Regions from separate parts of the Mus musculus genome. Here regions 2, 3, 4, 5, 6 and 7 are each reported to be linked to region 1. Evidence: microRNA targets listed by miRTarBase, many of them from high-throughput screens and not tested one by one. Region 1 holds a microRNA gene; each other region holds the end of a gene's coding sequence.
What was found. The annotated mature microRNA mmu-miR-30e-5p reads UGUAAACAUCCUUGACUGGAAG and lies in region 1 at 2,132-2,153, shown strand. An mRNA with a match to its seed (bases 2 to 7 or 8) in the 3' UTR can be bound and repressed. Matches are read on the target gene's strand: a 7mer-m8 pairs with bases 2 to 8, a 7mer-A1 pairs with bases 2 to 7 and ends in A, and an 8mer does both.

Region 2: miRTarBase lists Cd300a as a target of mmu-miR-30e-5p. The part of its 3' UTR that is shown has no 7-base or 8-base seed match.
Region 3: miRTarBase lists Ppm1l as a target of mmu-miR-30e-5p. The part of its 3' UTR that is shown has no 7-base or 8-base seed match.
Region 4: miRTarBase lists Fnip2 as a target of mmu-miR-30e-5p. Seed matches in the 3' UTR shown: 7mer-A1 at 1,136-1,142 and 8mer at 227-234.
Region 5: the mRNA of Cep350 is a reported target of mmu-miR-30e-5p. Seed matches in the 3' UTR shown: 7mer-A1 at 1,593-1,599.
Region 6: the mRNA of Klhdc2 is a reported target of mmu-miR-30e-5p. Seed matches in the 3' UTR shown: 7mer-A1 at 2,396-2,402.
Region 7: miRTarBase lists Ptpa as a target of mmu-miR-30e-5p. Seed matches in the 3' UTR shown: 7mer-m8 at 624-630.

The regions. Positions count from the first base shown.
Region 1 is chr4:120,771,718-120,774,812 of GRCm38, reverse strand. It overlaps Mir30e (microRNA 30e), which reads left to right and starts at 2,116; the gene lies at 2,116-2,207. It overlaps Nfyc (nuclear transcription factor-Y gamma), which reads left to right. Exons shown (of 10, transcript NM_008692.4): 5 at 1,046-1,141. Mir30f (microRNA 30f) reads right to left here and starts at 2,207; the gene lies at 2,116-2,207.
Region 2 is chr11:114,900,994-114,904,088 of GRCm38, forward strand. It overlaps Cd300a (CD300A molecule), which reads left to right. Exons shown (of 7, transcript NM_170758.4): 7 at 136-953. The coding sequence ends at 297. Among named protein-coding and RNA genes, the nearest start is that of Cd300a, 12 kb to the left of the region's middle.
Region 3 is chr3:69,552,599-69,555,693 of GRCm38, reverse strand. It overlaps Ppm1l (protein phosphatase 1 (formerly 2C)-like), which reads right to left. Exons shown (of 4, transcript NM_178726.3): 4 at 290-2,866. The coding sequence ends at 2,520. Among named protein-coding and RNA genes, the nearest start is that of B3galnt1, 45 kb to the left of the region's middle.
Region 4 is chr3:79,456,863-79,459,957 of GRCm38, forward strand. Fnip2 (folliculin interacting protein 2) reads right to left here. Exons shown (of 17, transcript NM_001162999.2): 17 at 1-2,879. The coding sequence ends at 2,801. It also overlaps a transcript of Gm17359 not described here. Among named protein-coding and RNA genes, the nearest start is that of Gm36442, 54 kb to the right of the region's middle.
Region 5 is chr1:155,845,894-155,848,988 of GRCm38, reverse strand. It overlaps Cep350 (centrosomal protein 350), which reads left to right. Exons shown (of 38, transcript NM_001039184.1): 38 at 262-3,095. The coding sequence ends at 426. Among named protein-coding and RNA genes, the nearest start is that of Gm51652, 19 kb to the left of the region's middle.
Region 6 is chr12:69,309,842-69,312,841 of GRCm38, reverse strand. It overlaps Klhdc2 (kelch domain containing 2), which reads right to left. Exons shown (of 13, transcript NM_027117.3): 12 at 2,803-2,855; 13 at 2,155-2,689. The coding sequence ends at 2,566. Nemf (nuclear export mediator factor) reads left to right here. Exons shown (of 33, transcript NM_025441.3): 30 at 176-276; 31 at 374-417; 32 at 508-587; 33 at 762-1,299. The coding sequence ends at 839. Among named protein-coding and RNA genes, the nearest start is that of Klhdc2, 15 kb to the right of the region's middle.
Region 7 is chr2:30,445,933-30,449,027 of GRCm38, forward strand. It overlaps Ptpa (protein phosphatase 2 protein activator), which reads left to right. Exons shown (of 10, transcript NM_138748.5): 10 at 445-1,875. The coding sequence ends at 522. Among named protein-coding and RNA genes, the nearest start is that of Ier5l, 27 kb to the right of the region's middle.

The sequences.
Region 1 (3,095 bases):
TGGAGTGAGTGGGTCCCGGGAGCAAGTGGGGCCCAGGAGCAAGAGGAAGAAGGGAAGGGGGGAAATGAATGAATGAATGAATGAATGAATGAATAAATAAATAAAGTAAGAAAAACAAATTTATCATACCTCTCACTTCAGCCATAAAGTGATCTATTTTTAAATACATTTCAAAAATTACTTTCCCATATATACTTAACTATATCACTCACTTGAGCTTAGTGGTTTTGTTTTTGTTTTTTTAACCTTAAAACTTTCAATAAAGTACACAAATCATATGGGAGAAAAAGTGTTGATTTTTATTATTCAAAGGAAGGGGAATAATATCAGACTTGAAGAGAAAGTCCACTTGTGACATTCTTTTCAGCTCTGTGTTCACTACCTACCTATAGTAAATTCAGGCTTGAGTATTCAGGCTCAAATTCGGATTAAACTATTCATTAAGCAGTGCAGTTTTGATTTCTAAACTAAAACCCATAGGTAACATAAAAATCAAGCGACTGGATTATAAGTGCCTGTAAAAAGAAAAACAACAACAACAACAACAAACAGTGCTTAGGGCCTTTAAAAAGATCATACAAGTGAATGATGGGCTGACCTTGTGGACCACAGAATGCCAGTTGAGACTGCTGGCTTTGTCCTGAATTAGCCAGAGGATGGTGGTTTTACAACTTTATGGAAGCTTTGAAACCAGAACAAGCAGAAATAGTGGTGAGTAGGGCTCAGATGTCCTGGCCTAGAGCACGAGATATGTGTATCTCTTTCGTTGATTTCTGTCCAGCAAGTCTGATATAAATTGAGCTGTTCTTATTTTTAGCTCTAGACAAACCTAGAGATTTTTAGTACAGTCTAAAAGTCATCTCCTTGGGCTGGGGCATAGCTCAATGGTAGAATACCTGTCTAGCTTGTGTAAAGCTCTAGGTTTAATCCCAGACACTGGGACTAGGGGATAGGAGAGGATCATGTCCTTTTACTTGAAGGATAACAGCCAAAAGAACTAGATTCTTCCTAGGCCAGTTTTTAACTTTGTTTTTCTTTGTTACAGAGGAATGATATTGCCATGGCAATTACAAAATTTGATCAGTTCGACTTTCTCATCGATATTGTTCCAAGAGATGAACTGAAACCTCCAAAGCGCCAGGTGAGCTGGGAGGATTTGCTCAGCTGCCACCTCCAGGGCCTGGGCAAGATGCTCTCCGGAGCTCCTCCCTCCCTCCCACCCAAAGCATTTCTTGTTTGTGGTTCTCTTCCGTAGTCCAGATCATCCTCAGCATCTCCTTCTACTCATTTATGGGTACTTTTAACTCAGTGCCTCTGGGGTGGGGTTGCAGTGAGAGAACAAAGTTAAAAAGACTAGTCACAGATAGTGGGGTGAAGCTCAGTTCAGGATTTCTTCATCTAAAATAAAAGCTTTTTCAGCCAGTCAGTTTTCAGATTCTAAGAAACAACCTCTTTGTGCATAGTGATCAGATTGGAGCCAGTGGCTTTTATTTTCTTACTCTATGCTGTGTCTCTGTAGTGTGATGACTCTACCCATCATCCACTGAGTCAGAACCTATGACCCCATGACCCCAGGAATCAATAATTAAAGTTCCCTAGATGCTTTGGTGTCCAGTGAAGTTTTAGAACCACCATTTACATTTTTCTTTTTAATTACAAGAACTAAGTGTCTGCCCTTCTTCTGCCTGTTCATCTCCAAAGATCACACCATTTGTTTTGTTCAGCACTTGGGTGCATATAACTTAGTTGTGATTGTGATAGACCCCAGTCCTATAGAGCTCATTGTTTCAGGCACGCAGTTTGCATGATTCACTAGGTTTAGTGTAATATGCCTCAGAGAAGTAAAGCCATACCATGTCCTGCTTGTTTTATTTTTGTTCATAAAATATAAGTGTTTTTAACTAATTATTTTGTAGTATACTGTTTAGAGTCATTTAATGACAACCATTCTCCCCATGTTGACCTGTACAAATAACCAGTCAGAAAACCTGTTGGAGAAGTGGGCATCCTAATTGACATTAATTCTGACCCTGCATGAGGGTTTTTGGGTTAGCAAGCCCTGGGTCACCTCCTTATGGGAGCAGGTTGTGCCTCACTGAAGCTCTTTATTTTTCTGGGCAGTCTTTGCTACTGTAAACATCCTTGACTGGAAGCTGTAAGGTGTTGAGAGGAGCTTTCAGTCGGATGTTTACAGCGGCAGGCTGCCACAGTCGTCCCCGGCTGCGCTCATCGGCTTTGAGACATTGCAGGTTTGTGCCCATGAACTTGTCTCCTTTTCTTGGGTTACTTCCTTTCTCTCTGAGAAGTCACAAGAACTCAGACTGTCTCTCTTCGTTTGGAGCTGATAATACCATGAGCCTGTTTTCCTTATTGGATTTTTGCTCCCATGTATCCACCAGGAGTTTCCTTTAAAGACAAGGTGGTAAGATCTGTGATGCAGTCAGGCATTGCTCTTATTGTACTGATTGTTCACTATGGGCTGCCTGCTGAATAGATGACTAAAGAGAAAGTTATTATCCTATACCAGTGGTTCTCAGCCTTCCTAATGCTGCACCATTTAATACAGTTCCTCATGTTGTAATAACCTCCCAACAATAAAATTTTTTTCATTGCTATTTCATAACTGTAATTTGCTACTGTTATGAATTTTAATGCAACTATCTGTTTTTCAGTAGTCTTAGGTGATCCATGTGAAAGGATCTTTCCATCCCACAAAGGGGTCACAACCCACAGGTTGAGAGCTGCTGACCTATACCTTCCTCCAAAGTTGTTTGTTCTTCTGGGTCTGTCAGGGTGTTAGATTTGCTGGTGGTCTACCCCATCTCCCTCTTTTGTTCTTTGGTTTGGTTTGGATTTTTGAGATAGGCTCTCCCTGTGTATCCCTGGCTAGACTAGACTGTGTAGACCAGGTTGTTCTGGAACTCGGAGAGATCTATCTGCTTCTGCCTCCTGAGTGCTGGGATTCAAGGCATGGACCACTATACTTAGTCCATCTCCCTTTAAAAGGTATACAGCAAGAACACTCCTTTAGCTGCCTGGTTTTAGTTCTTTGTAGGTGTTTGAGCTATTGATTGGCATCCTATTCAGGACAGCTG
Region 2 (3,095 bases), not on the chromosome of region 1:
CTACTTCTGCTGGCCATGATATACCCAGCATGGGTACTTCCCACTGTGGCTTGACCAGGTGGGCCAATGAGGCAGTTGAGGTCCAGGGTATGTGCCCTTCTCCTGTAGCCATGAGTCTGGGGTCTCTCTCTACAGGCATTACCCCAGGAAGAGCTTCACTATTCATCCGTGGCATTCAACTCCCAGAGGCAGGATTCTCACGCCAATGGAGATTCTCTTCATCAACCTCAGGACCAGAAAGCAGAGTACAGTGAGATCCAGAAGCCCAGAAAAGGACTCTCTGACCTTTACCTGTGACTCCTTGTCACCTGATCCTCTCAGTGGTGACTACCAGGTTCCAAGGCTCCCTGCTGGCTGCTGCCCTCAATGTCATGAGCCTCAGTGGCTTCACTAAAGATGAGCAGGAGCCAGGGCTCTGTGGGCACAGTCTCATCCCACTGGCTCTCTCCTCTTAGCCTGTATTTTGTTCTGCCTCTGGGTGTGGAAGACATCGATGCTGCTCTTTTGGGGCTCTGGGAATTGACATGGTTCGTATAGAACGGTACTTGTGTTAGTTAGCTTTGTAGTGTCAGTCCAGGAAGAACATCTGTGGTCACTGGGAAAGTGGGGGACCCATGAGACTACAAAGGAAGGGGAGTCATGGAGGTACTAAACACCAACTCCTTCATCTCACAGAGAAAAAAACCTAAGCTCTGAGGACAAAAGCCTGGCCCGTGGCACCAAGGTCAGGGGCAAATTCCTCTGGACTCATTTTTATTTTTATTTTTTGTTTTTTGAGACAGGGTCTCTCTGTGTAGCTTTGGCTGTCCTGGAACTCACTCTGTAAACCAGAATGGCCTCAGACTCACAAAGATCTGCCTGCCTCTGCCTCCAAAGGTGTGTGCCACAATGCCTGGCTTCTCTGAATTCTTAAGTAAAAGATGAAATAAAGTTTATAATATCTTTTAAAAAAAGATTATTTATTTATTATATGTAAGTACACTGAAGCTATCTTCAGACACTCCAGAAAAGGGCATCAGATCTCACTATGTTTGGTTGTGAGCCACCATGTGGTTGCTGGGATTTGAACTCAGGACCTTCAGAAGAGCAGTCAGTGCTCTTAACCACTGAGCCATCTCTCCAGCCCTAAAATACCTTTTTAAAGGGAGAAGAAATGGTTTAAATGATGTCTGTTACATGCCTGTAGCCCCCTATTAAAGCCCAGCTTTGAAGTCAGAGGAGCCTTTGGGGTTCAAGGGGTTGGGAAGGACATACCAACTGCTGTTCTTGATGGAACACACAAGAGTGTTTTCTTACCAGGGTGATTTTAAACTTGCATCAAAGATGACTGTGTTTCCAGGCTGCAGTAGCTACCAATGGTTTGATCTGCCCAAATGATTTTTCTTACAACTCTTTTTTTTTTTAAAGATTTATTTATTATTATATCTAAGTACACTGTAGCTGTCTTCAGACACACCAGAAGAGGACCTCAGATCTCATTACGGATGGTTGTGAGCCACCATGTGGTTGCTGGGCTTTGAACTCAGGACCTTCGGAAGAGCAGTCGGTACTCTTAACCACTGAGCCATCTCTCCAGCCACTTCTTACAACTCTTAACACTGTGCCAGAAGCAACTCCTAGGGTAAGCTGCCCCCAGAGTGGTAGGATGATGGCTATTTGTGACTTCTTTGAATTTTTTTTAAAGACAGAATTCTTGCTGGGTGGTGGTGCACACCTTTGATCCTAGCACTTGGGAGGCAGAGGCAGGCAGGTCTCTGAGTTTGAGACCAGCTTGGTTTACAGAGTGAGTTCTAGGACAGCCAGGGCTACACAGAGAAACCCTGTGTCAACAAACAAACAAATGACGGGATTCTTTATAGCCCAGATTAGCCTTTGAACTTGCTGTGTGGTCAAGGATGACTTTTTAGTTAATGTTTTATTGCCGTGAAGAGACCCCATGATCAAGGTGACTCTTATAGCAGAAAACATTTAACTGGGGCTGGCTTACAGTTCAGAGGTTCAGTCCATTATCATCATGGCAGGAAGGGCTTTCTTCTCCAGCCTGAATCCTTTAGATTTCAGTTCATGTACCCCACCCTCCTCCGCCTGTGCATGTGCTCGTGGTATGCACACCCATGACTCATCCCCCCTTCTTGTACTAATGTTTTGAGACATAAAAGGGGAAACACACATACACGGATGGATACACGCCCAAAGCCAGGTTCCACGGTGTGTGGGAAATGTGTCAGGACAGTAGGGACTATGGGTACAGCAAACAGAGCCCTGATCTGCTCTCAGCTCTGTCCCAGGCCATAACCCCAAACCCACCAGTGGTTCTTTTCTCTTGAAAGAGCAGTGGGCACTGGGACGCGCAGATGGGACTTAAGAGTCTTAAGAGGGGAAGTAGGGATGCTGTGGCCAAAAATAGAGGGCTACGCCCATGAACAGCTCGGACACAAAGGTTTAGTTGGGTGACTAAATTAGACTGCCAACTAGGAGGGATGGGTAGGGAAAGGGGAGCCCTGCTTCCCAGTGTGAGTCACTCATTGTGGGTGGCCCAAGTGCCCAGTCAGAGGCAGTTTTCATCACCTATGGACATGTCTCTTCCTTCACTTTCTTCTCCTCATCTGTTTCCTCTTCCTGCTGCCTGGGCCAGATCAGCCCAAGGGCATCTTTCATTAATCTCTTCATTCCTTCCTTCATTCTCCCATTTATTCAACTATTCACTCACCTACTCACCCATCCAACTGTCCATCCTCCCAACCTCCCATCCATCCACCCATCCACCCATCCATCCATCCATCCATCCATCCATCCATCCATCCACCTACCCACCTACCCACCCAGCCATCCATCTATCCACCCACTCATCCATCCACACATCCACCATCCACCCCACCCATCTATTTACTCACCTACCCATCTATCCACCCACCCATCAATTCATCCATCCATCCATCCATCTATCCATCCATCCATCTGTCCATCCATTCCATATTTCATACACTCCCTGCAGAGCATTTAGGGACCTGCTTCACAACAGACAGAAGACTGGAAACAGGGAAGCATAGGACAAAACCCCTGCCCCACATAGACTTTTGTGTTTACAGGGATAT
Region 3 (3,095 bases), not on the chromosome of region 1:
GTGCTGTTTATGGAAGCTTCGCGTGTACCCTCTCAAACCCGAGTCTCCTGCAGCTAGAGTCACCCTTCCAGAGCTGCTAGAGAAGGGGAGTGGCCAGAGCACCCAGCCCACACCAAACTGTAGACTCCCCACAGCTGAACACAGGTCAGGAGGGGACAGAGAAGAGCTACTCTGGCCTTATGTGTAACTACTTATCAAAATACTACCATTTTGCCTAGAATTTCTATCTTTAAAAAAGTCTACAAGCCACGGGAGGGGGGAAGAGGCAAGAAAGGAGTGAAATATATTCTTTTTTTTTTCCTATTTGGTTAAATAAGTTACTTCTGCAAAGCAAAATGTACAAGATCTATAAATCAAGATCAAATGTACAAGATCGATCTATAATATCTATATCTATAAACCTCAGTTAGAAGGCTCTGGAACTAGGGGGGTTCAGCAATGCTGGTTAAGAAACCCTGCTTGCTCAAGGAGTACCAACCAACTAACTTGGCAGTTTTCTTTTTTTCTTCACCCAAACATTTGTGTCTCAAATTTATTTATTTTTTTCCTCTTGTTATATACTTTTGTGTTAAGCAAATACAGAAGGGAAGTTGACTGTATAGGCTGTTGAGTCTGGACCTTTAGTTAGAAGATGGGTTTTGGGTACTCTCTGGTAAGAGCATCCTAAGCCAACAAGCTCATCCCATCACTGGTTAAACCCACACCTGACTTCTCTGTTCCCCACCCACCTAACCCATAATACACACCCATCAGTGCACGTCTCTCCACAATCAATGCTTCTGTCTAACATGATAGAATGTGTTTTGTACTAAAACATTCTGAGAAGCAGAAAAGACCCTAATTCCAATGTTGAAAACACAAGATACAAAAGTAAGCAGATTTCCTGGGAAGCCATTATTAATTCTTGATGCAGCCAAAGGAAAGCAAGTTCCCAGAGGAATCCAGACAGTTTGCAGTCCTCAGAGTCCAAGTCTTTCATTCTCCAGACTCGGCTTCCTACAAGCTCTGCAGCTGAAGGAGAGGGCCGGGGTAGGGAGAGCTAATGAGCAGGGCTTGAGAAGTCATGCCGACACACAGCCTCTCTGAGAGAACAAAACAAGGCCGGCTCTGGTGTAGGTCTGCAATGAAAATCGTGGCTCTTTGGGGCTGGTTCAATCAGCAAACAGGACAATCTAATATGTCCTATAAATTAACTTACAAAGTACAGAGACTGGGAAAAAAACCCCCACAACTTTGGTGTTAGTAAGGGAAGAGCAGTAATCTAGGCCCCAAATAACTCTGCTGCTTATCTCTGAGGGTTCCTGCTTGAACTCCCAACCAGTGCACACAGGTCCCCAGGAGCCAGTCTGCTCTTTCCCTCCAGGTCACAGCAGACAGTTCCTATTTGCCTGGGTATGGACAGAGATTTGCAATTGACCATGAAAGGTCTTTCTCTTGCCAGGAAGCACGTCCCAGTAGTTTGCGCCCCGATACCAACTTGTGGTGGTAGCTGGGAACAGCACCCGTGGGTGATTCTAGGTTGCTGTTTCTCCCACCTCTGTTTGAAAGGCATGAAAGCTACTAGGTAGGGTGGGCTTGGGAAGGGCTGTGCAGAAACCAGCAGTTGGTGAGTGTGACTGGTGACCCCAGGACTCCTGCCTTCCTCTCCAGTGCAGACAGCAATTTTCAAAAGGTCATGGAGAACCATCCCAGCCTAATTCCTCCTTGAAGATGGAAGGGCATACTGTACTGCGATGTGCTTTCCGTCCTGCTTCCTCCCCTCTCTGGGGAGTCTTGGTGAGGGGAGACAAAAACTCACGTCTCACGGTGAGGTCAGCGGCAGCCCTCGATGCATCGTAAGGTGTGAACAAATGGCGAGGCTGCACTCCATGAGAGGCGTAAGGGCTGGCTAACTGCATCCCGACTCTACTGAACTAATGAAGGAAGCGAGCGGAAGCGGGGAGGTCTGGCGTGCAGGAAGCTGCACTGGCTTCCCAACTCTCAAGTCTCTAAGAGCAGGCAACAAATTACAAAGTGTTGCATGTCTCCTTCCAGGATGCTGGAGTACTGAAGACCAAGACTCAGAAGGGGAGAGCATTTCTGAGGAAACTGCTTCAAGGCAGAGGGCATGGCCACCTCATTGTCATGGTGAAGTGTTGGCATCACCAGCTTGCCCTGCCCAGGTTCAGAGAGGACGCCAAGTCAGGTCCCTGAAGGACCACAGAAGAGATCATGAAAAGTACATTATTAAGAAGGAAAACATATGGCCTGCCTTTCCTTTGCCTCATATGTGGGATCTGTGGCTACCTATGTATGTGTTTCAAACACTGATAGAAGGGCTGGGGGGACACAAACTTAGCAGCCTCTGCGGTGTCAGCAAGGGAACCCTCTGCTCAGTACTCCAAAGGGATTCAAGGCCATCAGGGAAGGGGGTTCTGTGTTGGGACGCATGATCCTAATTATACCCACACCTTTTACTACATGAAGAGAACAGTATGTTGAGAGTCCTCTAGTTTGGGGCAGCTGAGATCTGGCAGGGTTCAGTGCTCTTCTGTTTTGCTACTATTCCTGAACTTCACCACCATGACAGTGATGTTGTCAGGGCAGCCTCTGTAAAAGGACTGCAGGACGATGCTTTTGGCCCCAAAGTGGGGCTCATCCAAGCGCTCCTTGATGAATCGAACCGCTTCTTCATTGCTGAAAGCATCCCACAGGCCATCTGAGGCCAAGATCATGAACTCCGGCTGCAGCTTGTCCAGGTCAAAGGTCAAGATGTCTGGGTCTGGGATGACCACGTTGAGATTTTTCAGTGGATAGTCTCCCAGGGATCGAGACATGGCTAGGATTCCCTGGACCCTCCAGGAGCCATTAAAGCTGATGAACCCACCTGGAAAGACAGAGGGAGCCTGTTAGCTTGTTCCGGTCTGGGTGAGTGTACCACAAGCTGGTCTGCTGCAACAGAGCTGAGCCACAAGCACCCCTCCTTCACCTTCGTCACTGCCAAGGCCACCAGCATCTTGCTGTAGGGCCTGGAGTGGAATTTCATGCTCTCATCCTTGGCAGTGCTAATGCTTACAATAATATTAAGGGTAGAGTATGGGTGGAGACAGAGCTTT
Region 4 (3,095 bases), not on the chromosome of region 1:
ATCCAAGGAAAACTTCAGACGCTTAAAAGAATCTGAGAGTTGTTTTATATTCTCTATGTACATCCAACCAATGAAGAACCTAAAAAGCTACAGACTAGTTTATAAAATCCAAAGACCTGATTCTTAAGAGTCCAGACAACAGTTTAGTATCATTTAGCAAGTGGGGAATTTCCTCCCTCCAAAAAAGTTAATTCTGAAAAACACATTAAGTTAAAAATTTGCGATGTGTAAACACAGCTCCGTGAGTGAGATCATGAGTTACTTCCCGTATAAAACAGCACACGTCTGGAAAATGGGCTGAAGCTGTACAAAAGCTATTTAACACTGATAAAATAAGATACTTTGGAATTATGCACAAGTGTGGAAGCTACATTTTAAATTTTCATTGTCCTTTTTGAAAACATACACAATTGCCTATACATTCATATCACTTATCAACTTAACAAATATAAAACTGCAACATGCTAGAAGAGGTCATTACAGGACACTGAGACACTTCTGCTCGGCTGTGCCTCGCCAGCCTGCTTGGTCAGACAAGCAGAGCGCTGCCCAGTGACACCTAACAGGTAAGACTGAAGAGCTGAAGAAACCCTAGGGCAGGTGGAATCCTGTCAACTGAGGTAGATTTCTTTAAACATTAAAAAAAGATTTTTCCCCTTGAGTTATGCCTAGGTGGGACACCTTTTCGGACTCTTCGGCTATGACAGAATGACAGCATCCGCGTCAGCACAGGTCCATGAGATGCTTTGTTTACTGTTTTCCCCGCCTCTGAGAAGAGGATGAATTTAAGACAAAGGACACGTCATCGTCATCGCCCGCACCGGGGGAGCCAGGAGAAGAGCAGCGCATCTTTCTTGCAAGTGATGGTGGGGCGCTGAGATAACCCACGTGAGCCCAGGGTTTCCCACTTTTCTTCTGAAATTTGGAACACTAGATTAAGAGGCAGGTTTAATTTTTTTCAGGCTTTGAAGTGCTGGGCTAAGTCTTTCTTCATGAAGCTGAGAATTAACCTGGTGACAGCTCAATTCCCCGAGTCTAGCTGTCAACATGTCACTACATCTGCACGAGGACCAAACTGATTCTGTACTGAGCTATTTTCTCCCAATCCTCAGGAGCTGGTGAGGCCGAGTCCATGTGTAAACGAGAGAAGCCAGGAGAAAGAAGGGCGAGCTCTAAGCTGGCACCGGTGTCTAGGAAATCTGCATTGACAGCTCAGCGGGCCACATGTGGGGCTCCCTGGCAAACAATGGTACCATGGAGCCAGGAAATGGAAAACAGCAAACAAATGCCAGGTGATAGAAAGTGGAAAGAGATGTAAAAGAATAGGACACTTCAACTTTGTGAAACACAAAAATGCAAATTAAAGATCTTAAGGGCCTGGAAGAACCACCTATTTTTACATATCACAAAAAATGAGAGATGCTCAGGGCGAGAGGGGGAGGAAGAGAGGAAAGGGAGGGAGGGGGTCCAGAGCGTCCACACTCCGGCCCACTTCTAAGAGATGATGTAGGCATTCGTCCCCAGTAGCGTAAGGGGCACATGGTCTCCACTAACTTGTATTTGTAATGAGGAGACAGACATGTCACATGGATCAGGATTTGCTGTCCCACATTCTCAGGCACCAGGGACTGGTGGGAAGGACTGAGGAGCCCACAGGGTTTGACTTTACTTGACTGGCTCCTGTCTTTTAAACAGCAGAAGTTTTGTTTTTAAAGTATTTGAACATGGACTGTCTTATGGTCAGTAAACTAAGGTTCTGTAGGTTCAATGATCAGTTGGGTTTTTACAGTTCGTCACTTTGGTAAGTTTTACAAATGGTCAAGTTAATTTCTAGAAAGATTTTTTTTTAAAGAATATGAGAGGGATTAAAAAGTGCAGAACTGATCATATAAAAACCTAGATCGCTTGTGGATCACATAAATGTTCGGGCTGCCTGCTATCCTTATCAGAGCAAGTCCACTCCCCAGCTGGCAGCGGCCCCATACAGCACAAACAGACATCTGCACAGCCGGCTAGGAAGAAAGAGGCTTGCGCTGGGCGAGCTCAGCCACAGAAGATCGCCTGAGCTCATGGAAACAACTTTGGTAAAAGGTCTTTCTGGAGAAGGCTAAAGATACTAAAGCCAGAGATGAGTTCCCAGTGCCAGACTACGTCCTCCAAAATACCCGGCAGGACAGGGTGCTACACTGAGTCCCTCGCAGACCTGCAGGTGGCTGTGCTGAGTCTACAGGAAGCTCTGAGAAGTGACAACCGTGGGTTTCTGGAGCACTCTCTTCTCAATAGGCAACCCTCTTCCACATCCTATGTCCAACAGTAGCTGCTGGAGCTCCAGGCTGACAGTGGCACAACATGGCTTTCTTCAGGTCAATGTTCGTAGAAGAGCTCTGACCTAGAAGCCACAACCCGTTCTTAGAGCAACTCTTCATGCTCTCTCACGCTTGAACAGGAAACACTTTCCTTCTGGAATGTTCTAGACATTGGTTACCCACTACTCAGAGTCAGCCCTCAGTATTCTACCCAACAGCATGGGCACGTCTGTCTAGTTTGACAGTGTTGCTTACACTTCCCTCCTGCCAGAAAGGTTACTTTCTTTTGATTCCTGGGAGACAATGTCGACTGTTCCTGAACAATCACAAACTCCCACTGCATGGAGTAGACACAAGCTTCCCAATGTAAGAGCCACTAGGCAGCAGCCACAGGAACAACGAGGGGTGCCTGCTCCGTGTTCTCACGCCTCTGCCGTCACTGAGAGCACCCTCCATCCTGTCTCATTTTCCAATGAGAGCTGTCCTGTAGTCGGCTATAAGAGGATCTGTGCCACGTACGGAGAGTGAGTGCTGGCGATGGCCGTCAGCAGAGGCAGGTCATTGGATTCGATCCTGAGTGTTGAAAAATTCAAGGAGAGTATGTTAAAACTGCATCATTTCATAAGAAAGTACTATGTCTAGGCACCAGCTTCTGGTCTAGCTTTTAAACTAATGAAAATGTAAAACAGGGACAGCAAGAGGGGCTTGGCTGGTAAAGGTACTGGCTGTCAAGGCTGATGATCTGAGTTTTGTCCCTGGGGCTCACATGATGAAGGAGAGAGAGAACTG
Region 5 (3,095 bases), not on the chromosome of region 1:
CATCTAAACTTGCTGCTTCTCTTTCCTGTAAGCTCCTGTGTGCACTCACTCGTGTTAACACAGACATGGGTTATAATCAGTCTATCTCTCTTATCTACAAAATGCTGGAATACCAGCATGTTCAAATGGAGCTATTTTAGTTTCGATGCTAATTTTAAAGGTGTATTGACATGATTTCTTTGGGACACATTGTACATGGGAGGTGTAAGTTCCTAGCTCTTGGGTGACAGGCTTGCTAACGTATTGCCTTCTAACATCCAGGTCCAGGAGCTGCACGAGGAGGAGGCACAGTGGGTGAACTATGATGAGGATGAGTTGTGTGTGAAGATGCAGCTGGCTGATGGGATCTTTGAGACCTTGATCAAAGATACTATTGATGTTCTCAATCAGATCAGTGAAAAGCAGGGGAGAATGCTACTTGTGTGACATCTTGCAAATAAATCGAACACTGAGTGCTAACATGAGTCCTGGGCCTTTCTGCCTTCTGATATACACCCCATCTCCACCATAGCAAGAATGCTTCTGGACCTTGAACCTGTTCTTATGGACTGCTGGTTTGGAGTTCATGGGACAATGTGGTATATCTGGTATTACAGCCTTTGCCTTTACAGACTGTCCACTGGATTACGTGGTTTTTTCCCGTGGGCAGGGCTATACTCTGATGCTGAGACTTGGTATCACCTCATTAGCACCCATACCTACTAGGTCTCAGATGAGGGCTGAGAACACCAGACTGACCTCTGAGCTTAGACAAAGCTTGAGTGTCCTCATGAGACTTGCGTCTCCGCAGGAAAGAGAGGTACATAGATTCTTCTTTTAACTTTCAAAACATAATCCTGGTCTATACAATGAAACTCACAAATGGACATGCTAGTCTCTGAACAGTATTAAACCCATAACCACTTTAAAATAGGCAAACGCAAGATTGTCTGCCTATTTTACATTCTGGAGTTTATTTCTTCTTGAAGACCATTTTCTTCCATTCTTGAAGTTAAGCAGCACCAAGTGGATGTCAGAAATAAGTGGGAGCTTTGCTTTGGGCACCACCTAAAAACTATAACCCATTGCACTGTGTTTAATTTTCCTGTCTGGGCAGAACCCAGTGAAGACGAGGCTCCAGGACTGCTGCGGGCTGTTCCTCCGCCCTGGTCCCACCCCTGCTCTCTCCTCATCTGTCCTAACCTCTACCAGCTGCTCTCAGAATCGTAGATACTCAGGACCATCTCAGGCATCCAGGCATGGCAAAAGTGGAAAGACCTCATTTTGGCCTTCAAACGTTGACTTCCCATCTCTCCCGCAGAAGTCAGTGCTGTTACTTGAATGAGTTAGAAAATGAGTGGCGCACCAAAGACAAGAAGATCCTGTCCAGAGTCTGCCTGCTTGTTTGGCTCTGTGGAATATTTTTAATTTATTTTAAGGTAAATTATTAAGTTGAAAATGTGTGTCCCTATTGAGAAGTGAAAGATTCTCATCATTGTAAACCTCCGTCTCGAAGCTTCTACAGTTTAATCTTCGCACAGGAAAGCTGCAGTTTTAATAAATCTATACACACACTGAAGAAGTCAGTTCAGTTCATCAAAAAGACAACAGACGTTTACACCGTCACCCGGGCAGCAGGACAGGACAGGACTCGAAAGACTAAAGTTTATCCTGCCTTTCTTGCAGCATTGCATCTTACAACCATTACCTGCATCTGAGGAACATCTCCAGACTCCAGCTGCTACCTTTGAGCACCTGGTGCTCTCCTGGGCCCTTAGCACCTGCCTTCTTGACTGGTTTCTCTTCATCAGTCCTGTCCTTCCTAATCCCAGGGAATGAGGATGATCTGAGGCGTGTGTGTAAATGCCTTAACCCTAACAGTCGCGGCTAGAACAGCATGGTAAGACATCCGCTGGGGTCACACTTACAGACACCCTGGACATTATGGCTTCAAAACACATTAGAAAACCCAAAGACAGCGTAACCCTTAAGTATGCACGTTTGTTCTTTTCTGCATCTTCCTTCCCTACTTGCCATTGCATCTCTGATGTCTCACTCTGCACACGTCACTCCTCTTGCGTTTCATCCTGTCATTACACAACATTTGCTGAAACCATCATTGGATATTTGCATTTTGCACAGTGACTGGTGTGCTAGCTCTTGACAATAAGAAAGCACTGAACTGTTCCAATTGGGTCTCCTGAATGCTCAGGTGGGTGTCTCATCAGCATCTCTTCTGTGCTTTTGCTGTTGAGCTGTCGTCTTTAGCCATAATGAGCAGGTTGACGAAGAGAAGAAAGGTTTCTCGAGGTTCTTAGTAGTGTGGAAATAGTTTTCATGTGGCCAATGAAAGCAAAGATAGTTCTCCTCAGTTTGTGTTCCTTAGGAGACAGGAGACATCTGTGTCCATCCCTTGACTGTTTGTAGGATCATATTGTCTTTATGAAACTGAACTTTACAGCTGCTATAAGTTTTTTTATAAATGAAAATCAAATTATAATAGGAATATAGGTTGTTTTCCATGTCTTCATTATTTGGACCTGAGGTTAATTTTTTAATAAGACAGTGTATCTTTTACTCTCTACATTATCATGCCAGAAAAGGAAAAACTTACTGCTGTAAGTCCATAGGCTCAGCGACCTGGACAGTGCCGAGATCGTGGCAGTGGCCGTCCTAACCTCCGCTAGCTGTCTTCACTATCCAAGAACCCTGCATTCCAGATGCGAGGCGGGAGTAAGCCAGTCTCCTCCTTTGCTAGCAATTACAGCTCCAGTTTGGTAGCAAAAACAAGTGAGTCTATAGAGTTAACAGGTTTCTTCCTATTTTAACTATTTGGATCTAACTGGGTGGGTTTACTGTTAGGGTCAGGAATGATGGATGTGGCTGCCCAGCCACTCACTCGGTCCACACTGGGGTCTTTTTAATGAAGCTCTGCCTCATAACCAAGAACCTAAGAATGCCCTCTTCCTAACTTTGCCCCTCCCCTACACCCGCGCCCTCCTGTCTGTCTGCATTGATTCCTCTAAACGATCTTTGCATCTGCAGTAATACCTTTTAGTATAGCACTGTCAGTACCTGGTAGTAAACCACCATGGAGGCTTCAGATTGACATCTGA
Region 6 (3,000 bases), not on the chromosome of region 1:
GCTAAGAGTATTCAGAAACTGATTTGTTGTTTTAGATCTTGGCTTTATGATGGTGTGATCTGAACAGATTGCATGTTAGGCAAGGGTTCTACTACTCAACAGCACCCCTCCCCAGCATCTACTGTTCTTTTCAAGTTTGGCATAAATTCCTTTTATAATTTTCTTTCTCCTTTAGGAAAATCTATTTGACTCTTTGACAGGGCAGCCACATCCTGAGGATGTACTGATGTTTGCTATTCCAATATGTGCCCCTTACACCATCATGACAAACTATAAGTAAGTCACTGTTGTCTCGCTCATACTCATTGCCAAGTAGCTTTAGGAATCTTTGATCTCCATGTAGTAACTGGTACAATTTTTTTTTTTTTTTAAGATACAAAGTGAAACTTACACCTGGAGTTCAGAAAAAGGGGAAAGGTAATTTAGGTGTTTTTTTTTGTGTGTGTGTGATTTTTAAATAGTTTAGTGACTAAACCAGAAGTACATTCTTGTGTGCTCTCCTTACAGCTGCGAAGACAGCCTTGAACAGTTTCATGCACTCCAAAGAAGCCACAGCAAGAGAAAAAGACTTATTCCGAAGTGTGAAGGTAAGGTTTCCCTTCAGCTCTTGTCTGTTGTCTTGACACAATGCTGTCTCCCCAGGACCCTAAGTAGGTTTACTTGGCAAAAGCTGTAAGTGCCTTTCTCCTGACAGTAGAGTACACGTAATTACCCTAAATAGGATATGACAATATTACGTACTTTTTGTTTGTTTGTTTTAGGACACAGATTTATCAAGAAACATTCCTGGAAAAGTAAAAGTGTCCGCACCTAATCTTCTGCATGTGAAGAGGAAATAGCTGGGATGAGAGCCTCAGCACTGAACAGCCAGTTTGTAGCCTTTGGAAGGTCAACGATGCAGACGTGTTAACAGGACTTCCACTTTACAAATGAACATACTGCCTTGCTATCACCAAAAGGACTTAAGATTTTTTCCCAAGTTTTATATATATCTATATAAACTATGATAGTATTTCCTAAAATATTTGTGAAAACTTAATGATACACATCTGTAATTGTATTGTTCTACATTTTATTGAACTTCTTGAGGTTTCATTTCATGATGTAACGACCCTGAAATAGCTCAAGTGCATAAACTACTGACGTAGTGGTCTACTGTATATAACATCTAATACATAGTACAGCCAGTCACGAGAGGTTTCGTTTGGTTAATGGAACAATTAAACATTTAAGATTTGTGTCTTGAACACTTTGCCAAATTTTACATCAAATGCAAAAAAAAATAACACAAGAAAATGACAGTTGTTTCCGTGTATTCATATCTATCACTTTCCTCCCTAACTTCTTCCTTGTAATATCTCTCAGTTGTTTGCCATTTTCTCTCCCAACCCCCAGCAGCTGTCAAAGAGTTAAAACTGTCTTAAGTGATTTTGGTTTTTCCAAGTCAGGGTTTCTCTGTAGACCAGACTGGCCTTGAACTCAAGAGATCCGCCTGCCTCTGCCTCCCGAGTGTTGGAATTAAAGGCGTGCATCACCACCACTGGGCTCAAGTATCTTGACCTGTAATAACAGAAGTGCATTTTCTTGCTGGGTGGTGCTGGCAGCATTGGGGAGGCAGAGGCAGGTAGATCTCTGTGAGTTTGAGCTCAGGACAGCCAAAGCTACAGAGAGAAACTGTCTGGAGTCTGGGAAAGGTCAAAGATGCTTTTTGGCTTTTAGGCTTATCACTAAAGATTCCTGGACCAGTATTCTTCTGGCTCCTATCAGAATAGAGAATGAAGCCATACATGATTTCTCTGTTCATGAGGTATAAGCTGCCACTTTTTAGTTAACTGGGTAGTAGCCATGACCATCACATGTCCCAGGACTACACCAACACTTGAAGGTTGGAGCAGTGCATTAATTGCAGCTTGGGCTGTCTAAGGCTCACTGCCGCCCCAGCATACACACCCAGGGTGGCAGCACACTTTGAGTTGCAGTGCTTGAGGGGGCGGAAGATAGAGGGTTACTGATTCAAGACCAGCCTTAGCTACATAAGGTTAAAGGCTACATACAGATGGAGCATCTTCACATTTCTACAGTTACATTACATCCACATTATCAAAAGATAAATGTTAAAATTGTTATACCCAGACGTGGGATAAAAAGTCAATGCAGGGGTTGGAGAGATGGCTCAGGGGTTAAGAGCACTGGCTGTTCTTCCACAGGGCCCACGTACAGTTGCCAGCACCCACATTGCAGCTTGTAACTCCTGTTCCAGGGAATCCAACACCCTCAGGCATGCAGGAAAACACCATTCAGTATACATAAATAAATCGTTAAAAAAAAAAAAAGCCAACACAGTAATTTTTTTTAACTTTAACAATAGACAGGTACTGGTGTTAAATACATTTATTGTAAACTTTAGACACAAAAATAGGTTCTCTAGGCCATTCACATGCACATAAAACCCAGGAAGCTGCAAACTACAACGATGCATATAATTATACAAAGGATGACACTGTGTGACAAGTACGGGGCTGTTCTCCATGCAAGTGGACCAGAAGAAGTATTATCTACAAAGCTTTATGATCCAGAAGTGTTGTTACTACCAAACCTCTGATTAACGCTGTGAAGTAAGTGTTTTGGAAGGCAGCTCCACGAGTTGGCTAGCATCTCTTTAAAGCAGATGACTGCTTCTAAGCTTAGCCTAAAGTAGACAAGGAAAGTGAAAATAATTTTACTAGATAGATAATTTTACTAGATAACTTGAATGAAGACTAATGCCTTTAAATAGTCATATACCTGGTGCCAAATACTTACCGTACAAGAGATTTTGGTTGAACTGAAAATATAAGTACTTCATTACTGTGTGCCTGAAAAAAAGAAGGAACAGGTAAAATGCAAGTGCTGAAAGCAGGCTGGTGTGCTACACTCACTCCTGTATCCTCAGCTCTAGGTAGCAAAGGCAGGAGCACTGGGCAAGAGCTGGACCAGAGCTGGGCCTACAGTCAGTAGTGA
Region 7 (3,095 bases), not on the chromosome of region 1:
ATAGAGGCTGCTGCCAAGGTAGGGCAGGAGTGTCAGCCCACTCCTGTTGTCTCACTCTGAAGAGTCAAGATGTCTTTGAGGCCAAAGACTACAGAAAGTAGGCCCTAGCCTCTTCTCAGTTGTGTTCAGATGTCCCTATACTGCTAGGGTCAGGATTCGGGTGGGGGTGGGGGGACCTTTGTCATTTCTTATGGCTCATCCCTTCTGGGTCAAGTGATGTCTCTTAGCTGCCTGTCTTGGCTTCTGCTGAGTATGGGTGCCTTTGAGTGGGAGGTGGGGATGAGGTGAACGAGATCACCTTCCTCCTAGGCCGGGGGCTGCTCTCCAGCACAGGTGGATTCCCGTGGAGGTGGCTGCAGTTGGAAACCTCATGTTTGTCTGGGTTACTGGGGATGCAGGAGGCGAGACAGGCCTCACCTCCCTGGTTTTCCCCTCCTTTCTCAGTGCCTGGAGAAGTTCCCTGTGATCCAGCACTTCAAGTTCGGGAGCCTGCTGCCCATCCATCCCGTCACATCAGGCTAGGAGAGGCTGAACTACCAGAGCCACCCTGGCCAGGTTCCTGTGCTCTCTGTGACCCAGCACCCCTCCCGCCCACCTTCTGTTCTTTCTGTTTGATGAGAGGCTGTTTACTGAGATGGGTGCTAAGCAGGGCCTGAGTTGGGGGAATTGACCACAGTGTGCCCAGTTTTTGACTGTCCTCCGTCTGGTGGCCGAGTAAGAAGAGAGGGGCCTGGACGTGGTCCCCGGCCCTGCCCATCCCTGTGCTCCTGCTTCCTCCCACGGTCAGGCCCATGTGGAGGAGACAAGGACACCCTGCTCTTGTCATTGCTCCCCCTTTCCTCCCCATGATGTAATGGTTCCCTCATTAAGAGCAGGAGTTCCGTGCCTCCAGGGCCGGCTGGTGGGTTCCCCGCTAGCTGTGTTCCACTGGGTATCTGCTATGGAGCTGAAGGGTGAGGCTGTCATCAGCTGTTGGGAGGGCTGGGGTTGGGGGAGGTTGGTTTGTAGGGGCCATGGATGATGAGGCTGGTCTTCTCAAGGTACCATCCTAGGCCCTGGGGGACCTGTGTCCATCCTCATGCTGGCTTTGTTCCCTGGCCCTTGGCTTTGCTAGGTTTCCTGACTGTTAACATAACACTCCCCTTCCTGGGGATAGCCTAGCTATGGAAGCTGCCCTGGGCTCCTGGGAAAGCCCATTGCTTGGGTGAGATCTGACTTTCCAGAGCTGTCAAGCAGGGAGAGGAAGAGACTCCGGGAGGCAGTAGGACTGTTGTGTCTGTGGAGAACCTAGTTTTCTCCAGTCAGTCTCAGGCCTGCTGATTCTGCTGCCTCTGCCTGCTGAGTGTCTGAAGCTTCCCCCGAGGCCTTGGCTTGCTGCTCCGCTCCCTTGGGTCGGTTTGTGGCTCGTGTGGGAGAGCAAAGAAGGTAGCAGCCCCCTCCTCCCACTTCCCTCTGTGAGATGAGGGAAGTGCTGGCCTGGGCCTAGGCATAGACTCAGAATGGGTAGGGCTGCTAAGGGGACCTAGCCACAGTCACCAGTTTTCTCTCAGCGTGTGGCTGAACTGGAACCTGCAGGCTTTCCTGTCCCACTTGGGCCTGCCCTTCTTCACTGCCCATCCTGTGTTTGTGCCCGCTTAGCTTTGTGGAGTGGACACTGAGAAGCACAACTCAGGGGCTTGGCCAGGAATTAACTATGGTCTGGGCAGAGCGGGGATTGAAGTCATCAGAGTCACAGGCAGTTCCCCAGGAAAAGCCCAGTGCCAGCTTCCTTCCAGGGCCAGGCCACTGCCTTCCTGGCTCCCTTCCCTGTCCCTGCGTCCCCAGCCCTGCGCCTTCCTTGCTATTTGGATTAAAGCCTCTGTTTTACACCTGTCCCCTGTGTGAGACATCTTTTCCTGACATGTCTGAGTGACTGTTCCTCAGCAGGTGGTTTTGTTCCTCAGGAGGGTGGTTTGTAGGGGCCATGGATGATGAGGCTGGTCTTCTCAAGGTACCATCCTAGGCCCTGGGGGACCTGTGTCCATCTTCATGCTGGCTTTGTTCCCTGGCCCTTGGCTTTGCTAGGTTTCCTGACTGTTAACATAACACTCCCCTTCCTGGGGATAGCCTAGCTATGAAAGCTGCCCTGGGCTCCTGGGAAAGCCCATTACCAGTTGACTTTCTGGGGATGGGATATGTGACAATGACTAAAGCAGGCAAGAGGGTTCAAATCCCAGCCATCCCCCTGGCTCACTCCTAATGGCAAGTTTGTGGGTAGGTTTCTGAGCTACTCTGGACCCCACCCAGCACCCTCATCTAGAAAATGGGTATAATCACAAGTGGCACTGGTAACCCTGAGTCTAGACCTGGTTCAGAACACATGCTGTGTTGTCACTGTGATGTGTATGTGTCTCCTGAACCTGCTGGGCACAGGTCCTAGGACCTGGCACAGGCTGAACAAGAACCAGATGTCAGCCTTCTACAGCTGCTCTGCACTCCTGCCGGCCCAAAGACGAGGCTCACATTGAACCTTACATCTGCCCTTGTTAGAAGTAGCCCTCTTTGTCCTTAGCCCACCTTCTGGTCTGTTATGCTAGGGCTGAGTACAGCTGGGCAGTGACTCCCTAGACACCAGGCGAGCCTATGAGTGGGAGCCTTTCTGCTGTCCTGGAGACTTTGCACAAAGGCAGGAAGAGGAGCCGCAGCTCGGTCACTTTGCTACATCCTTGGTTGCCCAAAGCCGTGTCTCCAGTGTCCACCACACTTGAATTCAAACCCAAGGCCAGCTGCTTACAATGGAGGAAATCCATGATGGCTGATTTTACCTCTCTGAGCTCCAGTTTCTTTATCTGAAAAACGGGCATCATAATGCACTGTGGTTTATTTAGCATGGTGGATCTCAGCCTTCCAAATGCTGGAATCCTTTCCAAGCATAAAGGATTTTTTTGTTTGTTTGTTTTGTTTTTTGGGTTTTTTTGTTTGGTTTGTTTTTTGTTTTTTTGTTTGTTTGTTTGTTTGTTTGTTTGTTTTTGAGACAGGGTTTCTCTGTATAGCCCTGGCTGTCCTGGAACTCACTCTGTAGACCAGGTTGGCCTCCAACTCAGAAATCCGCCTGC